Cricetulus griseus: one gene and its partners. The protein of the gene in region 1 purifies or fractionates together with the protein of each later gene. This does not show direct contact. Links are inferred from orthologs where the notes say so. Each region holds a gene or a part of one and is shown in the gene's direction. Other genes may lie near its edges.

What was found.
Region 2: the proteins of Ppp2r2c (region 1) and Sik2 purify together in Homo sapiens (affinity purification with mass spectrometry; 3 studies listed by BioGRID and IntAct, counting the BioPlex papers as one, with this or other methods). This does not show direct contact. The link is inferred for Cricetulus griseus from reciprocal best matches to the Homo sapiens genes PPP2R2C and SIK2.
Region 3: the proteins of Ppp2r2c (region 1) and Ppp2r1b purify together in Homo sapiens (affinity purification with mass spectrometry; 4 studies listed by BioGRID and IntAct, counting the BioPlex papers as one, with this or other methods). This does not show direct contact. The link is inferred for Cricetulus griseus from reciprocal best matches to the Homo sapiens genes PPP2R2C and PPP2R1B.

The regions. Positions count from the first base shown.
Region 1 is NW_023276807.1:105,891,922-105,899,789, forward strand, and holds part of Ppp2r2c (protein phosphatase 2, regulatory subunit B, gamma), read left to right. Parts: intron 1-563; coding exon 564-676; intron 677-3,108; coding exon 3,109-3,286; intron 3,287-7,868. UniProt on the Homo sapiens protein: The B regulatory subunit might modulate substrate selectivity and catalytic activity, and might also direct the localization of the catalytic enzyme to a particular subcellular compartment.
Region 2 is NC_048597.1:162,680,161-162,688,028, reverse strand, and holds part of Sik2 (serine/threonine-protein kinase SIK2), read left to right. Parts: intron 1-1,043; coding exon 1,044-1,168; intron 1,169-1,567; coding exon 1,568-1,691; intron 1,692-2,883; coding exon 2,884-3,104; intron 3,105-4,726; coding exon 4,727-4,879; intron 4,880-7,868. UniProt on the Homo sapiens protein: Serine/threonine-protein kinase that plays a role in many biological processes such as fatty acid oxidation, autophagy, immune response or glucose metabolism.
Region 3 is NC_048597.1:162,630,201-162,638,068, forward strand, and holds part of Ppp2r1b (serine/threonine-protein phosphatase 2A 65 kDa regulatory subunit A beta isoform), read left to right. Parts: intron 1-3,214; coding exon 3,215-3,447; intron 3,448-4,316; coding exon 4,317-4,464; intron 4,465-7,868. UniProt on the Homo sapiens protein: The PR65 subunit of protein phosphatase 2A serves as a scaffolding molecule to coordinate the assembly of the catalytic subunit and a variable regulatory B subunit.

The DNA.
Region 1 (7,868 bases):
TTCTTCCCAGGGAGGTGGGCTTCTGTTCTGTCAGGGTCTTTGGCAATAAACAAGGTCCATCATCTCCTGATGGCAGGTTATCTGCTTGATGGATTTAAGTTTTAATTATACCTGAGACATCCTTCAGAGCAACAGCCAATATGGTTTTGAACAGTATCCATGGCTTAGCCTATGCTTCCTCCTGTGACATCCAAGAGAGGAGTGCAGAGAAGAGACACCCTGGACCTGGCTTCTGGGTGGCAGGTGCCACCGAGTTAGGAATGGCAGATAGGCCACCCTTTTCTCAGGAAGGAACAATGGTAGAGACCCAGTGTGGAGGTCAGTAGTGATCCCTGCAAGGACCTTTGACATAGCAACATCCCCTGCCAGTGACCAGGAAAGATGGTGTGAGGACAGATTGCCCACATGCAGAGGTATTCTGTGTAAGGCATTGTGAGGGAGAACCTGACTATGTAAGAACAGGGGCATGGAATGACATCACTGTCTCTCTGGCTGAAGCAAGCGTTCTTGTACTGACCTGGCTGTGACAGGGTGCCTTTTTCTTCCCCATTCTTTTCTTAAAGATAAAACGATTAAATTATGGAAGATCACCGAACGAGACAAGAGGCCCGAGGGCTACAACCTGAAGGATGAGGAGGGGAAACTAAAAGACCTGTCCACAGTGACGTCATTGCAGGTGAGCATGTTCCACATTTACGTTCTACCAAGCCATTAGATGTTTAGGACTCTCAGAGCCAGGGTCAGGGCCACACTGTTGTGACATGATTCCTGAGGTGATGAAGGAACATCTACTCATCGTGGATGGGGAACCAATGACAGATCAAGATACTGCCAAGTCCATTCATTTGTGAGCCAATGAGTTGGGTTTTTATTTATTTTTGTCTTTTGGTGTTTTGAGACAGGGTTTCTCTGTGTAACAAGCTCTGGCTGTCATGGAACTCTCTCTGTAGACCAGGCTGGCTTCAAACTCACATAGATATGCCTACCTCTGTCTGCCAAGTGCTGGGGTTAAAGGTGTGCACCACCATGCCTGGCCAAACCATTGAATTTTATTGGGGTTACTTATAGAAGCTGAAATGAGTGGTAAGCAGCTACGTCGCCAAAGCCCACCCCAGCATGATAACACCTCACAAAAGTTGGGAACCTGGAGCACACTGCACAACCTGCAGCCAACTCGACAGGTTGGCAAGTCCTTTCCAGGTGGCTCAGCTGGTCTGAGTCTTAATCAGGCGGCTTGGCTGATCAGGTCGCTGGTCTCTGCTTCTTTCTGAGCAGCTTGTTGGGGAATAGATCTTTGCAGTCTTTATTGCTTATATATTCCAGAAAGGGAGGGACTTAGTGAACCCGGTCAGCTTCAGGAACTTCCTGAAGCTACTTTGAGTTGTTTATCTACTGTCCAAAAGGAGCTTCCCTAAAAGATGAAGTATCTCACCTCCCCTTATTAGGTGGTTCTCAACCTTCCTAATGCCATGACCCTTTAGTACAGTTCCTCAGGTTCTAGTGACCTCCAACCATAAAATTATTTTCATTGCTACTTCATAACAGTAATTTTGCTACTGTTATGAATCATAATGTAAATATTTGCAATACAGGGTATCTGCTATGCGACCCCTGTGAAAGGGCCTTTCGACCCCCAGAGGTGTTTCAGCCCACAGGTGAGAACTGCTACCTTAGACCATCCTGCTGTTTCACCTCCTTGTAAACATCCTGTCCTAAAATATCCCATTGTTTCACTTCCTTTTTACATCCTATATCTTCAAAATTCTCCCCAAGATGAAAAATTTTAATCCACTACACAGCAGACACCCTGTATGCTTCTCTCCTGGCATGGTGTGGTGGGCTGTGTCTGTGAAGGGCTCTTCAACTGCAGTTGAGAGGGAAAGCAAGTCAGAAAATTCCCATTACAGAAAGGAAAAACTGAGGCCCAGAGTATAGCCACACTTGCTCTGTAGTTACTGAGTTGAGCTCATCCTGGGTATTATAGTGTGGAGGGAGTTGGGCTGGTCTTCTTTGGTGCAGTGAAGGACAGAATGTGGTGCTGTAGAGTTGTGGCAAAGTTGACGTTTGTCCTGCTTAATTAAAAGACACAAGGACTTGCATCCTCCAGCAGAGTGTGGAACTTGCAAGAAAGAGTTTTGGTGGCTGGAGTGCTTGCTCAGTGATTAAGAGCACTTGCTGTTCTTGACTCCCACCACCTACATGGCAGCTTATAGCTGTCTGTAACTCCAGTCCTAAGGGATTTGATGCCCTCTTCTGACCTCTTTGGGTACCAGGCACACCACATAGTGTGCATGCATACATCAGTCAAAATGCTCATACACATAAATTATAAAAAGAACAAGAGAGAGAAGCGTGTGTGTGTGTGTGTGTGTGTGTGTGTGTGTGTGTGTGTGTGTGTGTGTGTGTGCTGGGCACTTCAGTTTATAGGGAGAGACCCTGGATACCTGTACTGCTGACCATGCCCATTTGGGTATGGTCACAGGTACCTAGAGGGGTAGGATAAAGAGCGAGGAAGAGGCGCTCCTCATCTCTCGGGGGTGTTCAGGCTAGGTCTTGGAGGCATCTGGGACTGGACTTCTCAGAGTGCCAAATCTGGTTATTGGTTCCTTGTGTGAGTATCCCTTCTTAATAAATTACCAGTTAATAACCTATCCCATGTTTGATCTTGTTTCTCATCATCAGTTCATGCAAGGTGGGCAGGTTTATTCCTGAGCCCCTTATACAGGCCAGGAGGCTTTGAAAACCTCACAGTTAAACAGCCATGTAGAGCATGCTGCGCTAGCAGGGCAGGTGAAGGACATTTGGTATCTCTGACCATTGATCTCACACACGACCGCTTGCTTATTTCACACCCTGCTCCTGAATGAGTGTTGCAGCTTCCCATTAAGATCGTGTGTTCTCTGCCAGGCAGTAATCCTTTAATCCCAGCACTTGAGAGGCAGAAGCAGGAGGATTTCTATGAGTTTGAGGCCAGCCTGGTCTACAGAGCGAATTCCAGAACAGCCAAGGCTACACAGAGAAACCCTGTCTTGGGGGAAAAAAAAGATTGTGTGTCCTGTGACTTCTCCGGCCCCTTCCCTTGTGACTCTGACTGTCTCTGCTCTGCAGGTCCCTGTCCTGAAGCCCATGGACCTGATGGTGGAGGTGAGCCCGAGGAGGATCTTTGCCAATGGCCACACCTATCACATCAACTCCATCTCAGTCAACAGCGACTGTGAGACATACATGTCAGCAGATGACCTACGCATCAACCTCTGGCATCTGGCCATCACTGATAGGAGCTTCAGTATCCTTGGCTTGACCTGCTGGGAAGTGGCTTCAGGGTGGTATATAAGCACACTGGCTTCCGGGCTTTAGTTTTGGCAGCTTCCTTACTGTGGTCCCATCTAGGGTGTGAAGGGGGCCAGGTGTAGGACCACAGTATTTATGAACACTTAAAAGACACAGCTGCTGAGAAGCTCCATCACACCCCATGCCTCCTTAGGGTGGCAATGGTCTCCATCACCTTGGTCCCCATAGGAGCCATGAAAGGTCAAGAGAGCTAGAGGCAACATGTCCGGTGTTGTGTCTCTCTGGATATAGAGTAACAACTGGGGTATCAGAGATATGGGTGTCAGAAGCTAGCCAGAAATGGGATCCTGGTGTCAGAACAAGCTAAGGACTGAGCACTGCCCCTCCTCCAGCCTGCTAAGGAGAGGACCACCTATAGGATGTGTGAGTGTAGCCTGCACCAAGCTGGGGAAGGTCAGGGCCAATCCAGAAAGGGCAGGTTGCTACCATGTCACTGTTGTGTGGACTATTAATGCCAGCCATACTAAGTGATGTTTCATGTACTGAGCTTTCACACAATAGGATAGTCACCAGCCCCTTTGCAGTAAGGGACCTGAGTCATTGAGTCTGAGCTCATTAGATGACAAGTATCTACTGAGAGGGAGTGAGGGGCAGGGAATGGCATAGCGATGATGTAATGGAGACAGTAAAGAATGTTGACTTCTTCAATTTGGGCTGTGTTGTAACTGTCTTTGGACCTAGGTGGCCACAGGACATTAGAACAAGATAGTTGTATATGAGGAAAGAGAGTTGATTACTCCAGCACCAAGACTTGTTTGTCCCCGTGTCACTGACTTCCTTTTCCCATCTAGAATACAGGAGTTATGCTCATCCATGTTGAAGAGCACAGCATTCACCAGCAGAGTAGAAGGGGGAGCATGTCAGTGGACTGGCGGGCCTTGTGGGAACTCGAGTGGAAAGGGGAACATGTCAGTGGACTCGTGGAACTAGGGAACTAATATGGCTGTTGTGGACACACTGTGTCCAACTTGTGTGTGGCTCCAGTTTTGTGAAAGTGCCTGGTAAGCTGGTGACGAGAGGTGCCTGACTTGTTCAATGCAGGAAGGGGTATGTGTCAGGTGCTGAAGACCCGGATGTGGCTTAGGGAAAACTAGGATTTGAAGCAGCCTCCTGTCTGACTGCCAGGTTAATCAGGGAGCCATGTTGCCCCACTGTGGCCTGCTGGTACCAGGCCACAGAGTGATGAGAGTCAGACACCTGGAACAGAGCTCTGGGCTTATTCCCTGGAGGTGAGCCTCTCTTAGCAGAAAAGGGTCTGGACTCTGGGCTGCAGGTGTTTCCACGGATCTGATGGCAGCTGAGTAATTGGAGATGTCTCCCTTCTGGCATGGAGAGAGGTATGTGTGACCTCATGCTGAGCTGGGATGGCTTTGAGCTTATGTGATACCCTCTGAGGGATGTACGTGTATGCATGTGTGTGTGTGTGTGTGTGTGTGTGTGTGTGTGTGAGAGAGAGAGAGAGAGAGAGAGAGAGAGAGAGAGAGAGAGAGAGAGAGAGAGAGAGAGAGACCTGGAGGATCCTGGCTCATCCATTCTGGGGAGGAAGCTGAGGTCAGGGTTGGAGGTGATGCTGAGTGCAGAGAGCTGGACTGAGTCTGGACCAGGGTCTTGCATTCCTTTCTGTCAGCCTCTGCTCAAAGTTCTCAGTGGTCCCTTTGGCTCCTGAGACTGCTCTGGGCTCATCAGTGGTGGCTGGTGTTCCTTGGTAACACTTCCCTCATCCTCTCCCCCAACTCTCAAGATTTGTCTGTCCTTCAGGGACCCATAGGGCCATGTTCCACCCTCTGCTTATTCCCCTCTTACTCTTGGCCCCATGATCCTTTTGCCTATAAGCCTCTGCCCACAGTTCCATGGCCCAGTCCCATCTGTCCTTGCCGTGTCCCTTCTGGGCTGACAGGTCTCCTCCTGGGCCCCATTTCCTTTGAATTTTAGCTGCACAGGGATTCCTTTGACTGCCCCTCTGCCCACACAGTTTTTGTCTTGGAACCCAGGATGAGACCTTCCTGTGTCCCTGGCACTCCACAGCCCAGTGCAGAGGTACTGTGAGCATTTCTAAACAGAGCAGGCAAATGACTTACAGTGCATAAGCCACCGCTTGCATGCAGGTCTAGGGCAGCCACTCTCCTGCCTGTTTGAGACCAAGGTGACTCAAACACCAGACCCTAAGGAGCTGGAAGTCAGGTTGTGCCCCAGGGTCTGGTGCGTGGACTCTCCTTTGGCTTCTTCTCAGGGCCATCAGCTTCCAGGAAGGTGGAATGAGCAAAGCCAAGTTCTCCTCAGGGGCCTGGAAGCAGGCCAGCTAGTATGCCCATGCCTCTGTTCCTTCCTGTAAGTTTTCCCTCAGCCTCACTCAGCCTGTTTAAATCACCCCATGTCCTGAGATACCAGCACTTGCAGTGTTTCATCCAGAGGACAGAGTTTTAAAAAACTGGTTCACAGAGGAGGTCTTTCCACACAAAGACACCTTCCCAGTCAGAAAGATCTTTTCAGGGACTTGAGATGTGGCTGACACTGCACTGTGACCATCATTTCTGTCCAGAATCTCAAGATGAGGCTGATCTGCAGTCAGTGTGTTCAGGGGTTGTTAGCTTCAAATTGAGTCACAGAGGCCCACGGTGACTGGTGTCCTTAGCTGAAGTGGCTATAAGGTCACTGACACAAGGATGGGCCAGCAAAGACTAGGTAAGGACATGGGGAACAGAGCAGGTAAACCTGTGGCAATGCTAGCAATAGGCCTTGGGGGACTCCTGCCATGTCTTTACCTTAGCAGTGGAGTTCTAGGTTCCAAAACTCTGAGAACTAGGTGCCTGAGGCTTCACCCACTCACCTTCAGCATTGTGCTGTGGCAGCCAGGAACTGGGTCTAGGGTTTGGCATGCTGTGCCTTGAGTGCCCTCAGTTCTTGTTTGCAGCCAGGTCATCTGCTGGAGAAAATTTAGAGAGAGAAAAAAATTCTTTTTTTAGATTGTCTCTTATGTTAGAAGGCCTCGGGGCTCTCCACACAGGAGGCCCTTCTGCAGGGTTCTGGCAGAGCTGCCTTGTTCTCACTCCAGTCACTACTTGGTTGCCATGACAACATCTTCTGGTCTTGAGAGCAGGCTCCTGGGAAGACATGTGGATGAGCCTCATGCTTTGCCGGGTGCAGTCTGTGGAGCCCAGGGCTTGCTCATTCTCTCTCATGAAACCTCCATTTGCACTTGGCATCCACCTTGTTGAGTGACAGCCATAGCCAGGGCATCAGGGTCCTTGGTATGCTGAGGGTGCTGGAAGGCCTGCCCTGCCCTGATGTTTGGAAGCCAACTCCTTCCTCCACAGCTCCACATGTGGCTCTGGGTGTGTCCCTGCTCACCCAAGCCTCCCTGCTTTCTTCAGGGATGGGCTCCATGCTGCCTTATATCCAGGCTATTGCTGTGCCTGGAGGCCCAGTTTGTTGTTACATCCCTATAGTCTCCATGAATGCCTATGCAATGGGGGTTGGTATTGGTTCTCTGCTCTCTGTGTCCACTTCTCCCTTGATATTTTGCTAGAGCAAGCCAAATCTTCCAGGCCACAGTCCAGACTCAGTGGATGATTAGCAGAGAATTTCCTGTGAAGAAGGAGTGGCTCTTAGTCCCCATCACTGCATAGTATGGATGCCATGATTCAGTGAAAGGAAGCCATGAGATACACAGCCCCTCCTCTCCACAACTCACCACTCCAAAGTGATAGAATGACCAAGGCTGAGCTTTGGGAGACTAGGCAATGCCTTTGGTGACAGGAGATGAAGGACAGCCTATAAAAGTCCCTACACTCTGACAATGCTGCAGAGGCCCATGTGGCTCATGTTTCCTGTGTCCTTGACAGGAAGGACCACAGATCTCATTGTGGGACCCAACACAGCCTGGCTCTGCAGTAGCCTGGCGCTCTCTCACCTAACCTACAGCTCACACTGGGGTATAGCAGGTGAAGAGCTACACCTGCCTTTCAGGGCTGTTCCTGACAGTCTATCTACTACCATCTCTTCTGGTCCCTAGTGGCCAGTGCTGTCCCATCACTGAGTCACTCAGTAAGTGTCTCTGTGTCCCACCCCCAGCCCCTGCACCTGTGCCACTCTTTCTTTTGTACATTTCTAATAAGGACACTTGTGTTGGATTCCAGGCCACCCGGGGAAGCCAGGAATGCTGTCACCTCAGTACCCTCTTTTAATTACAGAATTGTGTTGCTGTCCCCATTTCCAGTCTTCAAGGGTCACATAGCATCTCACCTCATGGCCACCCAGGTCAGTCCTAGAAAGGAACCACTATTTTTCAGTCACACCTAAGCCCCCATTTTGCACATGGGGAAACTAAAGTTTTTGGGTTCCCATGTGGCATAACATATTCTAGAGAGCCAAGTCCTGACATATAACCCAGGACCCCTAAATTCTGACCTGATCTCCAAAATTAAAGCCACCTGGAGAAGTCATATTTAAGGGTATCTGGAAAGCCCCACTGACATGGCATGCAAGGAGAGGTGTGTTCGGTGCATTTGTGCTGTGTG
Region 2 (7,868 bases), on another chromosome or scaffold:
TAAGGTTCACAGGCACTGTCTCTGGCCCTAAAGCCAGTCTGGCTGGCAGTGGAGACTGGATCCACTTTTTTTGAGTCTTTGCTTAGGCTCCCTGTGCGTGCAATGCTTTGCACATACTAGTAGAAAGCCAGAGCCTCTCACTTTCAAGACTCAAAGCACAAGAGATTGTGGTCCTAACTTGTACAACAGTTGGAATTTGTTTCTTGAGTCTTATCAAAAGGGTAAACATCCATCTATGATAAAAGACACTGAAAACTTGTATGCATGTGCATATGGAAGGCATTGAGTAGAGTGTTTGCAGAGTGCATTCTGGGTATCAAAACTGTAGTGTCACTGTGACTAAGATTATAAGGGGAAAGGCTTACAATTGTTTTGAAGTATAATGCCACTGCATTCCAGAAATGAGCATATAAGTGATAGTGGTGATGGGTGGCTTGTGGCCAGGCCATATGCTATCATTTGTTAACAAGATATTCAGATGTGTATCTGCCTATAGTAGGATGTATGGATCAACGTTTAAAGAGTTGTTAAAAATTCTCAGTTGCCTCAAAAGCTGGTATATGTTGCTACTTAGTTGGGTTTTACTCATTTACCTCTTATAGACTATACAGAATGAAAAGTCCATTAGTAATCATCAAGTAACTTACATTCTATAGTAGTCAAATTCACAGTGGTTGTCCACACAAATAGAACAAAAAAAGAAAGGCATGGTTTAAGAATTGCAAGGCAGGAAAATGATGAGTTCAAAGCCAGCCCAGGGCACACAGTGAGATCCTGTGTCAAAACAACAACAAAGACCATGGTTTAAAGTCATCTTCTATCTCTCACATGTTCTGTTTTAGTGGAGAACTCAATTTGCATATGCATTTATTCAGCAATGTTCATTATTGATTATTAGCTTATCACTGTGGTAATTATAGGGAAATACTACAAGATAGATGTCACCCTCATCTTTGTGGTCTCACATTACAAAATTGATTATTGAGAAATGCAGTGTAGATTGGGAGCAGAAATGAAAGTAACATTTATTTCCATCCCAACAGATTTCGGTTTTGGAAATTTCTTTAAAACTGGTGAACTTCTTGCAACATGGTGTGGCAGCCCCCCTTATGCAGCCCCAGAAGTCTTTGAAGGGCAGCAATATGAAGGACCACAGCTGGACATATGGGTACTGCTTTGCTTTGATATGTTAAATGTATCTATCATAATAATTGGTACTCTGACCTATCTTAGAAGCTCCTGATATTCAACACATGGATAAGATTTCATAGTCTCCCCATCCAGTGGACTGTAATTAGTCAGAACATCTGGAGATGGATCCCTAGGAAAGAACTTCTGGGGACAAGTGTCACCATCCTAATATCAACAACGATTTGAAGTGATGTGGTGAGCAAAATGATCAAATTCAGATCATTTGGTATTTATGCCTAACTCTCACCACAGAAGTAAGATGGGAATTTTGGACAGGAACCCATCAATCCATGTAGTTTTAGGAGCTGTGGCGGGTTTTGGAAAATCAGCGTGTTGAAGTTCTCCCTGAAAGTGACTGCGTTGTTTTCTTCCCTAGAGCATGGGAGTTGTTCTTTATGTCCTTGTCTGTGGAGCTCTGCCTTTTGATGGACCAACTCTCCCTATTTTGAGGCAGAGGGTTTTGGAAGGAAGATTCCGGATTCCATATTTCATGTCAGAAGGTAACGAGCTGTTCCACATATTGGCTGTGCATTACGGAATTTGTGCTGTATGAAGTCCTAGCCAAAATTTCCCTGCTGAGAGTTTGGGTACCAGATAAAATGACTAAGTCATTTTAAAAGCCATGGAGCTCTGCAACACCCTCCATGTAGACGAGACAAGTTCCAACCTTCCTCCTTGTAACTGAGAACAGAAGCTACCCAGATTAAGAGCAGCAAGTCTTTCCATTCAGCTTGGGTCTATAAATGTCCCGGTTTATTTTAGACTCCATAGATGCTGGCTTACAATCATTTTACTCTATGTATGAAATAGATTTGCAAAATTAAAAGTCTTAAATTCAAAGTCAACTGGTGGAACTCTGATAAATTCAATTGAAATGCCACAGTCCCTACTTGTCTTGTTTTAGGCTGTCATATCGACGACAGTTTGATGACTCCTTAGTTGTGTCTTCAGTTTTCACCCTTATCTCTTATTCCTGCAAACAGTAGACATAATTAATGCACTGGGGAAGGCAAGGTCATACAGGCTCTGGAGACAGACTACCTGGTTGGAATCCTGAGTTAACTATTCACTGGCCCTGCAGTTTTGGCTCATCTGTAAAGCGGAGTTAACAATAATTCCTGCCCTTGAGGTGACATAAGGATGAAGAAATTACTCTGCACAAAGCACTTAGCACAGTGTCTGATAGATGTGAGTGGCAGGAGGCTGAGTTGGAAGAGAGTGGTGAAGAGCTTGCTGTCACTCGGAGCTGCAGCTGCAGTGTACATAGTGTCATCAGAAGCAGAGCTGCATACATGGTCCTTGGCAGCACTGATGAGAAAAGCTGCCGCTCACTGGAACAAGCATGATGCTCTCCCAGCTGGCTTTACTGAACATTCCTGAGTAGGACCAAGGATCAGTTCTTGTTCTGAGAATGAAGCTTAGAATTATTTTTCCTTTGTTGAAATCTAAGTGTGGCTAGATAAAACGCACCAGAAAGGCTTTTTCAGCACACAGGTAGGCTTATACTCACTTGTGTTTCCTAAGTGTTTGTTCAGCATCTGAACTTGACCAGTCACCCTTCATGCATTCATTTGCTCATTTGTCCTGCAGTGAAGGATACAGATATAATAAATGTTGTGCAAAGTAAGTATGGGCCATGTAAGTATGTCTGAAGGTGATCTATGTGACTTTTTATGGTTTTTTTTTCCACAGATTGTGAACACCTTATTAGAAGGATGTTGGTCCTCGATCCTTCCAAACGGCTAAGCATAGCTCAAATCAAGGAGCATAAGTGGATGCTCATAGAAGTTCCTGTACAAAGACCTATTCTCTATCCACAAGAACAAGAAAATGAGGCGTCTATCGGAGAATTTAATGAACAGGTTCTGCGATTGATGCACAGCCTTGGAATTGATCAGCAGAAGACTATTGAGGTAAAGTGATGGAGATGTGTCTGGAGATATTTTAGGGTTCTTCTGTGTTTGTCCCTTAAATTTCCATGCTCACACCTGTCATTCTGGTCTTTTAGCACATACTCTCCAATGCCTGGGTGTACTGCTCAGGGTTCCCTGATGATGACATCAGGCTCTATTTACAGTTGCTGTTATTCAATCTCTAATAATCTCCTTCCTTCACCCTCTCTGCCAAGAAGCCCAAGGAAATAATTTTCAGAGGATTCAAAAAAGGCTAAGACTGGGGCTTAAATATACAAGATAGAGGCTGGGCATGGTGGTAATACACACCTTTAATCCCAACACTGTGAGGCAAGTAGATATCTGTGGGTTCAAGGATAGTCAGAGTTATATAGTGAGACCCTATCACCAACGAATACAAGGTTTCTTTGAAAGTGAAATGAAGTTTGATAATGGTATAAAACCAGTTTGTATGAACTATAAATGTACATATATGGAACAAGACTAAGGACTGAGCCAAGAGCCAACAGAAAAGCATCACATTAAAGCAAGCCAGTGGAGGGTTAGGAGACCCAGAGAAACTAAACAGGCAAAACCAAGTGAAGTTGTGGTTTGGAAATATTAATGGTTATAGAATGAAGAAAGATTTGAACCTGGAAATTTCCTCTTGGCTTTTTTTTCTATCTAACAGTTAGCATGCATATAGAACATACACAGTGCCTGCACAATAGCAGCCCCACCAAAGCAGAGCAGTGCCTTTATAGAGACTGTTTCTTATCTCCTATTGTGGCTGTGAGCAAAACCAAACTTGCTGTCTCACTCTGTGCTTTGTGCACTCAGTGATGTTTTCCATGGAATAGATTCTGGGCTTCTGTGGGTCCCTCTGGTCTGTGAGTTTTTTGTTTTTCCTGAGGGTTTCCTGTTACCCCATACAGCACCCATATGGATTGTCAGGTGGTATTAGAAGCCAAAAAAGAAGTTGTTTCTCTATTGCACTGGCGTCCCAGGAAAGCTGGCAGACTAGCAATGTGAAAAATTTGGGAAGTAAGTTTTTATTCAAGGTTTTCAAAGGGTGGGACTGCAGAAACAAGAGGAAAATATTACCTAAGAACACAGACACAGTGTCTCTCCATCTACCATCCAGATGTCATTGTCCAGCCCAAAATAACCACCAGAAAGCTCTGCAAAGGCTTTGTTCATTCACGTCAGAGTTTTCAGAATTGAACTTGGTTTGCCTGAAGCTTCAGAGTTAGAACTTTGGAGCACAGGGTGCTGGCCAGCCTTACTTAGTACTAAGTACCTTGGTATCTAAAATTGAGTGAGTGAAAATACAGATCTAAAATCTCAAGCCAAAATTATTATGGAAATTCATGTGCGTGGATCTCAGAGGGCTCACTTGTTCCTGTACAGCTTTATTTGTTAAGACACAAACGAAATATCTCCACATGTACCTTTGAACATCATGGCAGCAGGGGCACATGGCAGAGGCTATTACTCCCTTCTTAGAAGCCGGGGGAATGGAAAAGGGAGGTTTTGTGATTTTTATTTGCAGAACACTTACCTTACCCTCCCCTTTAAAGAAGTATAGATCTCTTAGTTGGTTTTTATCGTTCTCTACCTTCAGCACTTGTTTTTTCTTTCAGTCTTTGCAAAACAAGAGCTATAATCACTTTGCTGCCATTTATTTCTTGTTGGTGGAACGTCTGAAATCACACAGGAGCAGTTTTCCTGTGGAGCAGAGACTTGATGGCCGCCAGCGCAGGCCTAGCACCATTGCGGAACAAACAGTTGCCAAGGTAACGGCCCATAGAGCCACCAGTCTCATCTATGCATGTGCTTTTTTATGTTTGGTACAAAAGGTTAGTATCTCATCTTCTACAGTGTTTTCCTGGGTTTCAGCCACCGTCACTCACTAGAGTCTCAAAACTTTTAGCACCTTCCTGCTTTTAGGGATTAACTTTAATTTTTTTTTTTGTCTTTTAATCACTTAATCATTTGCTAATCTTGAGAATTAATGTAACTAGCCTGTACTTTCAGTTCATTTAACAGAATTATGTTGCACATTGACCATGTGCAGGCTGCTGTTGTTAGGTACTCTAGGAGTTTGAATGCATGGAACACCATCATGGTTCTCAAAGCTGTAGTCTAGAAGCAATAAGAGAAGGCCAGAATCATTCTCTAGGACAGGAATATGGGTGCTATTGAAGAGCTGAGGGCAAGGGAGAGAGGCTTATTTGAATAGGAAGAGCTTCATGGGAAAGATGACATTTAAAACAGCTCTTCATGGAGGTATGAGACTGTGAAAGCAACATTCAATACCAAAGACATGACTAGGAAGGTGATGCACACAAAATGAATAAAAGTGCTCACATGGCCTGTAGGCCCTGTTCCTACTAATTCAGTCCATTTGAGCTGAAGTCTAAGAAAATAAAAATTTGGAATGGTAATTGGAAGCAGTATTGTGAAGAGCTTCCTAATGCCAAGGATGACTTATAATTGAGGAAGCAATAACAATCTTACGAAGACCATAAGCCAGTTAGTATGGGAGCATTAGAAAGGATGGCTTGGTTAGGGAAGAGCTGGGGACAGGGGGCAGGATCTCACTGGCTGGCCTGGAACTTGTTATATAGACCAGGTTGGTCTCCAACTCCCAGACATCCACTTGCCTGTACTGGGATTAAAGGTGTGTGCCACCCTGCCTAGCCTAGGAAGCGCAGAAATTTTTGAAGAATGCCTCTGAGATTCTTACACTAATTGAGATGCAGAATGCTGAAGACTTGATGTAGTGCTGGTAGAAAGGGAGGAAGGGCTCAGACAGCTAGACCTGTGTGAGTTTAACACTGATGGGAAACGCAGCTCCACTTAGTGATTAGAGGCAGGGGTGCCAGAGCGATTCCCAGATTCTGTGCCTCACTTGACCTGTCCTAAAATGGGAATGACACTAAGTGCTGTGACAAGATGAGTTGATATCTGTGAAGCCTGTAAACAGTACCTAGCACATAGCACATGCTGAGTATCTGTTCCACAACAGAGTTAGAGGCAACATTCTCCTCAAAGGCCTAAAGACACAGTGAGCACATAGCTCAATGCTAGGAGAGTGATGTGGTCTGAGAGAGGTCTAGGACTTGTGTGGAGCGGCTGGGAAAGGAATGGTTTCTTCCCATTAAGATGCCTGCCTCATCTGTAAGTAGCACTCCATGTTAAACAGAATTATAAATGTACAGGGATATAGAAAGATTTTTTCATTGGCTTCTATAGAACATGAAAAAATGAGGGAATGAAAATTCTTGATTTCTAACAGGTGAATTATATATTTTTCTTAAATATCTTATAAATAAAATAATGTGTCAATACAATTGTGAGGGAATACTGTATCAGTATAGCTCCAGATATTTGTATTACAGTATTTCTGAGCATGTTGACACCTTCAGCATTGAATAGCATTGCTTTTGAGCAAGAGAGGAAGGGAAAAAAAAACTCCTAAGCTGTATTGATAATAGTGAGCTATAGTGAAGTCCTTCCTACATACAAGTATGGCTAGACAAAAGGAGAGGAAACAGGATGCCACTAGTGTAGTAACATACTTTCTCGACTAAGTTTCTTTATTCTTCTTAAATATTCCACAAGTGAGAGTGGTGAAGGGTTACATCAACAGTTGTTCCCAAGCACCAGCACGTGTTGCTGTACAAGATCCTTCCCTGTCTGCATGGTAAGCAAATCCCTCAGATATCTCAAATTGTGTTTAATTTGGCTTGGGGTACAGGTGTATAATGTACATGGCTTCTTTTGTTGGTAACTTAAGTTTTTACTGCCAAGCACACCATGAGTTCTTTTCATTGTGTGCACTGGCCCAAGTCAGCATCAAACTGCATACTATGACTTCACATGTCTACCTCTAAAATACAGCGTCTCAACTCACCTACTAACTTGTTGAAAATGCCTTCTGAACCCTAAGAAGGAGGTCCCACAGCTGAAGAAATGCTTCCTGCCCTCTGTTTTAGTGGGTCTTGTCCAAAAAAACAAAAAACTGATTTGCCCAAAGTTTTTAATAGAGCTTCCTTGTTTTGTTTATTTTATTTATTTTATTTTGGGTTTTTAGAGACAGAGTTTCTCTGTCTACCTCTGGCTGTCCTGGAACTCACTCTGTAGACCAGATTGGCCTCTAAACTCACAGAGATCCACCTGTGTTTTCCTCCCTGGTGCTGGGATCCAAGATGTGCGCCACTACCTGGCGAGCTTCCTTGTTTGAATTTTCTTTTAAAAAGCAAGTAGACTGCAGGGCATTGGTGGCACTTGCCTTTAATCCCAGCACTCGGGAGGCAGAGGTAGGTGGATTTCTGTGAGTTTGAGGCCAGCCTGGTCTCCAGAGCGAGTGCCAGGATAGGCTCCAAAGCTACACAGAGTAACCCTGTCTCAAAAAATAAAGAGAGAGAGAGTAGACATAACACTAAACAAAACAAAACCAGGAAACAACATACAGAGGTCACACAAACTATAGAATCATGCAGGCCTTGAGTTCTACATAGAGATTAGTGATTTTGCTCTGGTCAGCATTTGTGAAATCCTATGTCTGTAAATATAAAAGGGAAATAGTGCCTGCTTAATATGCTTGCTGCCAAGATAAAATTAGTTAAGCTGTGGGAACAGTTGTGTTCAGCAGAGTACAGTTCTCATCTGCTAGGCAGTGTAGCAGCCACTGAAGTACCCAGGAGCCAGCCCTTGCTCATAAGCAGTCGTCATTCTAGTGATGGAGTGCCCATCATTGTTTTGTACACAGCAGTGAGC
Region 3 (7,868 bases), on another chromosome or scaffold:
ATCCCATTCCCCCTCCCTTCTCTCCTCTCCCCGCCACCTCCCATCTTCTCCTTGGAGAGGGTAAGGTATCTCCTAGGAAGTCTACTAAGTCTGTCCCATCATCTTGTTGAGGTAGGACCAAGGTACCTCTCCACCCGACACACCCTGTGTCTAGGCTGGGCAAGGTATCTCTCCATATAGAATGGGCTCCACTAAGTCAGTTTGTGCATTAGTGTTAGGTCTTGGACCCACTGTCAGTGGCCTCATATATTGTCCCAGTCACACCATTGCCACCTATATTAAGGTGGTCTAGTTGGGTCTTATGCAGATCCCCCATTTGTTAGATCAGAATCAGTGATCTCTCACTAGCTCAGAGCAGTTGATTCTATGGGCTTCCCCATCATGGTCTTGACTCCCTTTGTTCATATTATGGCTTTGATTATACTCCAGGAGCTTGGCCTAATGGTTAGTTTTGGATTTCTGCATCTGCTACACTGCAACATTTTTTATGTAAGTCTTTTTATGGGCAGGTGGTAATAATGTTGAGTGAATGAATAATGTAGGCACTTTAGCTCAGCTCTTGTTTTTATCAGCTGGATATAAGAACTTGTTTCTGCCTCTGTAGGCTTGTCAGAGATGGGGAGGGAAGGGACTTAATTTTTTTTGTTTGTTTGTTTGTATTTTTGAGACAAGGTTTTGCTATTGTAGTCTTTCCTGGATTGAAACTGTATGTAGACCAGGCTGACTTTGAACTCAGAGATCCTCCTGCCTCTGCTTCTGGAGTACTGAGATTAAAGGTATGCCCCACTATGCAGATGAACTAAGCCTTAAAGGGTGACTAGAAACTGACCAGCTGGACAAGGCAGGACCATCTGTTTTAGGGCTTTAAATATTGAATATATGATGCTGGCTCCCATGATTCCTAGTTCTACTATGAACCATTCTGTAGAACTCCAGACATAGATGGGTAACAGATAAAGTGGAGACTAGTAGAAATCAACAGAGTTATAGATGGGCTGTCTCCAGCTATCCAGTTATACCAGCACAACCTAGAAGATAGCTGTTGTTTTTAGTGGTGCTAGATATTGAAGCCAGGGCCTTTGCATGCTGGGTATGTTCTAGTTCAGTGAGCTGCCGTCCAGAACTAGAAGGCATTCTTAAGTCCTTCATCCTCCCTCACATCTGAGCAGTTTGTCCTGTAGACTCTGCATCTATACCAATCCATATGAAAAACACACTCATGTGCTGAGCTAGTGGCATTATTTTGGGAGTTTGTGGAAACTTTAGGAGGTGGGGTCTAGCTGTGGGAGGTGGGATGTTGGGGGCAGGGTATCTTGCCTCTGTCCTTGGACTCTCTGCTTATCTGCAGTAAGGCAGAGATGTTCTTCTGCCACACTTTATTACTGCCATGTTGTTCTGCCGAGGCTCATGGGGCCAGGCAACCATGAAATGAACCCTTGAAACTGTGAACCAGAATAAGTTCTTTGTTTCTGTTAGCTATTTTGGGTCACAGCAATGAAAAACTCATAGCATATACACTGTTCCTCTTGGTAATTCATTCCACACATTGGTTTTTCTGTTCATTGTAAACCCAGCTCATATTGCCTTAAGACATCGGCTGTAGGTGTCATCTCTAGAGAGATGCTATTTAGAGTTTCTGTTGCTGACTCCTCGTAAGTCAGACAGCTGCATTTTATATGAGAGGCCTTCCCTGACCACCATTGGAGTAGCCACTTGCTCACCCCCTTGCCCTTCACCTGTTTTCATCTGATTCCACCATTAGAATGTAGAGTCCTTTAGAGCGAGGCATCTAGTGTGCTCATCCCTTCTGTATCCTCAGTGCTGCAACATAACTGCATTCATTACAGAAAGAATGAGTCTCATAGGCTTACAACCGTGACACTTGCTGGGTTCAAAGCTGCTAATGTATAAAATGCAAGCAGCAGTGGTCATCAGAGCCCTGAAATTGGAAAATGGGCAGAGTTGAAGCGCAGGTACCTCTCACAAGCCAGTGTAGCAGTGTGAGGCTATGTCACAGTAGGCAGGGGACAGATGGTGACAGACTGACTAGTAAGAAGCGGTGTCTTTTCAGTGGGTCTTTGATATCCCCTGTAGGAGAGCATAGAGCTGTCTATATTTTTGAACCATATTAGGCAGGCACACTCCTTCCCTAAGTCCTGACCTTCACTCTTGGTCAGTGCTGCTGTGGAGTTTGTTCTAGTCTCTGCATCGGTACCTTATGCTGAATTTACTGGGATCAAATGCAAAGTTAGAAAGGCAGCTGGATGTTCAGAGAGGCAGCCCTTCTCCATGTCTACCAGGCCATGTCACATTCAGTTCCTGACAAGGGCCAGACCTGGAACCTCTCCTATCTTTTTATGTCTCTATAGCTGTAAGATCTCCCCCATCTCTGCATTTATTATTTGACTGTTCTGTCTGAAACTCCTATTTGGCTCTTAGAAAGATTCTTAATGTATTTTGAAAACAAACAAACAAACAAAAAAAACTTGGTGTTGCTGGGTGGTGATAGTGCACACCTTTAATCCCAGCACTTGGCAGGCAGAGGCAGGTGGATCTCTGAGTTTAAGACCAGTCTGGTCTACAACAGCTAGTTCCAGGACAGGCTCCAAAGCTACATAGGGAAACCCTGTGTTGACCCCCCCTCCGGCCCCCCCCCCCAAAAAAAGAAGAAAAACAAAATAAAACAAAACAAAAAAACCACCAAAACCTGGTGCTGACTCAGCTTTTTATTGGTTGCTTTAATTGATGCCATTGAGGTTTCATGGACAGGATTGCTTGCACCTCCAAGAATGGTAGGGTGATGCACAAAAGTATGGACTCAGTAGCCTGACCAGAAATTACCATGCACTTGTGTTACCCACAGTTGGCCATAGTTTTGGACCTGTTCCTGTCTGAATGTGGCTGCATATCATTTAAACTTCAGCTCCTAATAATAGTGATACTGTGTCAAGTCTCTTCCACTGTGTCATTTGTAGACACCATCTGGGGATTGCCATCTGGGACATGCAATCTTGGCTTTTCTACAGAAGTCGTGTCTTCAGGTTGGCCACACCATATGTTATCACTGTGTGAACTGAAAGTAACCATTTGGTATGATGTAGTTAACATTCTGGTTCCATGTACCGTTTCCCTTCAGTCATGTAAAAGGTGTCAATCTGTGTCTAACCTGATTTAATAAGTTGTCATCTCTGCTTTCCCTTTTTGATCTCTGCAGCCTCCTTTGGAAAGCTTGGCTACTGTGGAGGAGACTGTTGTTCGAGACAAGGCTGTGGAGTCCCTGAGGCAGATCTCTCAGGAGCACACTCCCGTTGCACTCGAAGCTCATTTTGTACCTCTGGTGAAACGCCTAGCAAGTGGGGATTGGTTCACCTCTCGCACATCTGCATGTGGTTTGTTCAGCGTTTGCTACCCCAGAGCTTCAAATGCTGTCAAGGCCGAAATTCGACAGTAAGAGCCAGTATTTTTTAGTGTGTGGGATTACTAGGGACTCACAGCCAGAGTTTACACAGTGCCCTGTTCCCATTATTGTTTCATACTAGGCAGGCAAGATTGGTGATACTCTTTCTTTCTTTCTTTCTTTCTTTCTTTCTTTCTTTCTTTCTTTCTTTCTCTCTCTCTTTCTTCCTTTCTTCCTTTCTTTTTAAAATAATTTTATTTCTTTTTATTTTCTGTGCATTGGTGTTTTGCCTGCGTGTATGTCTGTGTGAGGATGTCAGATCTGGGAGCTATAGACAGGTGTCAGCTGTCATGTGGATCCTGGGAATTGAACCTGATTCCTCTGGAAGAACACTCAGTGCTCTTAACCTCTGAGCCATCTCTCTAGCCCCTGGTGATGCTTTTTCATGTAGTTGAATATACTGAGGGCTCTCTCTCTCTCTGTGTGTGTGTGTGTGTGTGTGTGTGTGTGTGTGTGTGTGTTTCATGTGGCAACCTCTGGTGTTGGTCTTCAGGTACCTTCCTCATTTTCTTTGAGACAAGGTTTCTCATTGGCCTGGAACGTCACCACATATGCTAGCTTACCTGGCCTTCGAGCTTTCTGGGACCTGTCCATCTCTATCTCCCATCTTGCCACCTCTGAGGTTATTTTACTGCCATTGCACTCAGCTATTTGTGTAGGTCCTGGGGACTCTGAGTGGGCTTCACTTGGGAGGCAGGCACTTTCCTGATTGAGCTATTTTCCTGGTCCTTTCTTTATATCTGTGAGTAGAAACCTAATCATTGATGTTTGAAAGGGAAATGCTCTAAATGGCCATCTCTTGTTATTGGGGCATGCTTAACCAAGTGTTTGACAGGAAATACCTTATTTCATGCTGCAGGCACTTCCGTTCCCTGTGCTCAGATGACACACCAATGGTGCGACGTGCTGCTGCTTCCAAATTGGGCGAATTTGCAAAAGTTTTGGAATTAGACAGTGTGAAAACTGAAATTGTACCATTGTTCACGAATCTAGCTTCAGATGAACAGGTAACTCAAGGCTTTAGATTTAGGAGATACAGATATGCTCTTTAATAATTTTTAAAGAAACCATTTATTTGGGGAGTTTTGACTCTAATGTAGAGTCCTTTTGTAAAGTTAATACTCAGTTCTAGCTTGGTGTCCATCCTCCTGTGTTTCTTTCTTAACCAGGCCCCATTTTCTTTACATTAGTAGGTGTTAGGAGGAGGAGTCAGAGATGAATTGGGTTCCATAACTAGGAATCTCAGGGCTGCATCAGGGACGGGTATCTTTCAGATTCGTGAGCTGTATTGTGATATGGAGGTGAAGTGTTTCCTGGAAACCTGACTTCGTTAATTTCTACACTAGTGTATGGCATTACTATACACAATAGCAATCTTAGATCTAAGGGTCTTGGTTTCTTTGGTGTAGAAACGATAAAAATCAGCAACCCCTAAATTACTTAATACAGTTGTTTTCAGTTTGGATGGTGGAGATGGTTGCAGGGTCATCTGGATCTCAGTTTCCATATATAAAATGGTGTGGTATTTGCCACTGCTTGTATACATCCTCTTGTGTACTTACTCTAAGTCACCTTCAGGCTACTTGGCAATACCTAATCAACATAAAGTAGGGCTGGAGAGATGCTTGCCCAAGCCTGGGGACCTGTGTCTGGTTCCCAGAACCCATACAAAGCTGGACATGGTGGCATGCATCTGCAATCCCAGAACTCCTATGGTGAGGTGGGAGGCAGAGAACAGGAGGATCACCCTGAAAATCATGGGCCAGCCAGTCTGGGGTGCACAGTGCAGCTCAGCAAGGTGGAAGGCAAGAACCAAATCCTGAAAGTTGCCCTCTGACCTCCACATATGTGCTGTGGTGTGTGTGTACCTACACACTCTCACAAACAATAAATAAAAAATCCACAGTGTAAATGATCTGTAAATAGTTGTTATACTACTTACTTGAGGGAATGATGACGGGAAAACAGTCTGTATATATTTACTACAGACAAAGAAAATTTCCCAAATATTTTGATCCTTGGTTGGCTGACTCCATTGATGTGGGGAAACCATGGACACAGACTGACTGTTATCTACCAGCCTGTTTTAAGTAGCTGCATGTATTATGGAATTAGGTTCTCCTAACAGCCCATGGCATAGATACTCAAGGAAATGGAGGTCCAGCTAGTTTATGAAGCTTGTTCAAGGCTGTATTTAGCTAATTGTGGTGCAGTTGGGGTTTGAATGTATGTGGGCTTCAGCTCCAAATTTCTAAGTCTTATAATTTGAACACTGGCAACATTTCAAGCATGCAGATGCCACACATACATGGTGGTTTCCATGTTGGAGCAGGGCAAGCTTAGCATCCTTATTTGGAATTTAGCTGGTTATACTTCCCATGGCATAATTTGATATTTTCTTTTATCTTCTATACTTCCTGCAAAGTAGTAGACTAGGGGTTTGCAGATTTTCTGGTGAAGGACAGCCAGGAAATATTTTCAGTTCTGTGGATCATATATCCCTGTTGTAATTGTTGTGGCTGAAGCAGCCACAGAGTATGGAAACCAATGGACATGAAACTCACCAATTTATAGGTGGGGCAGGCTGTTAGCATTTGTTCCTCCAAAAAATATTGAATGCTTTGTTAGGAAATATGTATACACTATGCCTTCTGTGACAACTGGTAGATCCGCTCATGGCTTACTCATTAACAGAAACATTTATTGAGTGGCTACATAGAGTACCTACATATGTGAGGCACAGTTCTAGTGTTAAGGACATACAGGGACCCTGCTTTCATGGAACTTGCATTTTAATGAAGAAAAATGAACATGATAAAAATCAGTCGTAAATGTCATGGAAATAGTGTAACAGAACACTGACCGTCAGTCAGCAGAATGCTCTGAAGAAGTGACAGCTGAGAGAAAATGCCGTCTCCGCTCCTTCGAGGAGCGTAAGAGCCCTGTAAAGAGAGGGCATGAAATAGGAAAACACCAGCATTGGAGCATGGTGGTTGGATGAGTCCAGTAAGCGGGAGAGTGGAGAAGGGAGCGGTGGGAGCATCGGTAGCCCACAGCAGACTCCAGTTTTGGAGTTTTTTTCTTTAGACGCAGTGAGACTCTACCTATATCTGGGGAAGAGGTGTGCCGTGTAGTATACATTTTTGAAAGGTCATTCTGGCTTGTGGGTGGAAACAAAGTTGTAGGAAGTATAAAAATAGAAAGAGAAGGCCAGTTAGGTGATATTGATAAACCAGGCAAGAGATGAGGGTGCTTGTGTGCTATGTTGGATTTGTGTGTGTGCTTGCGTCAACACACACACTCACATGCACTCTATTGTATTTGTGTGTGTGTGTGTGTGTGTGTGTGTGTGTGTGTGTGTGTGTGTGTGTTCTGTTGTATTACGTATGCGGTGAATTTCTTGCTCCATTTCTCTTGGGTATTCATAGGGTTTTATTTTTGATCTTCCCAGATCAAAGTCCGAAGTCATAACTCCTGATGTCAAATTGAGTCTTAATTCTGTGTTTTCTCTTACTCAGAAGACATTCTTGTGTACCATTTGGCATTGAGCAACTCTATATATGGAAAAGCAGGTTGTCAACTTGCCTTTCCAGTTTTCCTCTGCTGTTTTACTAGACATGGTTATCTCTCTTTGAGTTTCAGCATTTCAGTTTGACTCTGTTATTTGGCTATTAACTTTTCACTCTTTTTGTGTCTTCCTTTGTACATTCCGTCTCATGCTACTGTTATGGCCAATGAGTAGTTGGAAGTAGCTTTCAAAGTGATCTTCCTTGTCCTTTAAACTCTTAAGTACATTATTAATTAACTTCTTGTAATAAGGCTTTGAATATAGCATTAAATTAAAAATCAATCTTTATATTTTGTGGCCACTCAGATGTCCTAGTGGTAAAGCGTTTTTGCCTGATGTCAGTGCTCAGAACCACGGGAAGGTGGCAGATCTGCCTCCAGGAGGTTGTCCTCTGACTTCACACACATTCACTTGCAATAAGTAAGATTTTAGCAAGTCCTTTTCATTTTATTTAATAAAAACCTGGCTGCAGTTAAGATAATTTGAACCAAGTGCCACTTTTATGTCTTTCACATGCAGTCTTTCACATGCAAAGGAAGAAGTTACATATTTGGAAGTTGTCTTAGTTGGGGTTTCTGTTGCTGTGATGAAACACCATAACCAAAAAAGCAAGTTGGGGAGGAAAGGGTTTATTAACCTTCCCTTCTCAATTGTAGTCCATCACTGAAGGAAGCCAGAACAGGAACTCAAACAGGGAAAGAACCTGGAGGTAGGAACTGGTGCAGAGGCCACAGAGGGGTGCTGCTTAATGGCTTGCACCCCACATGGCTCGCTCAACCTGTTTTCTTATAGAACCCAAGACCACCAGCCCAGGATGGCACCATCCACAATGGGCTGGGTCCT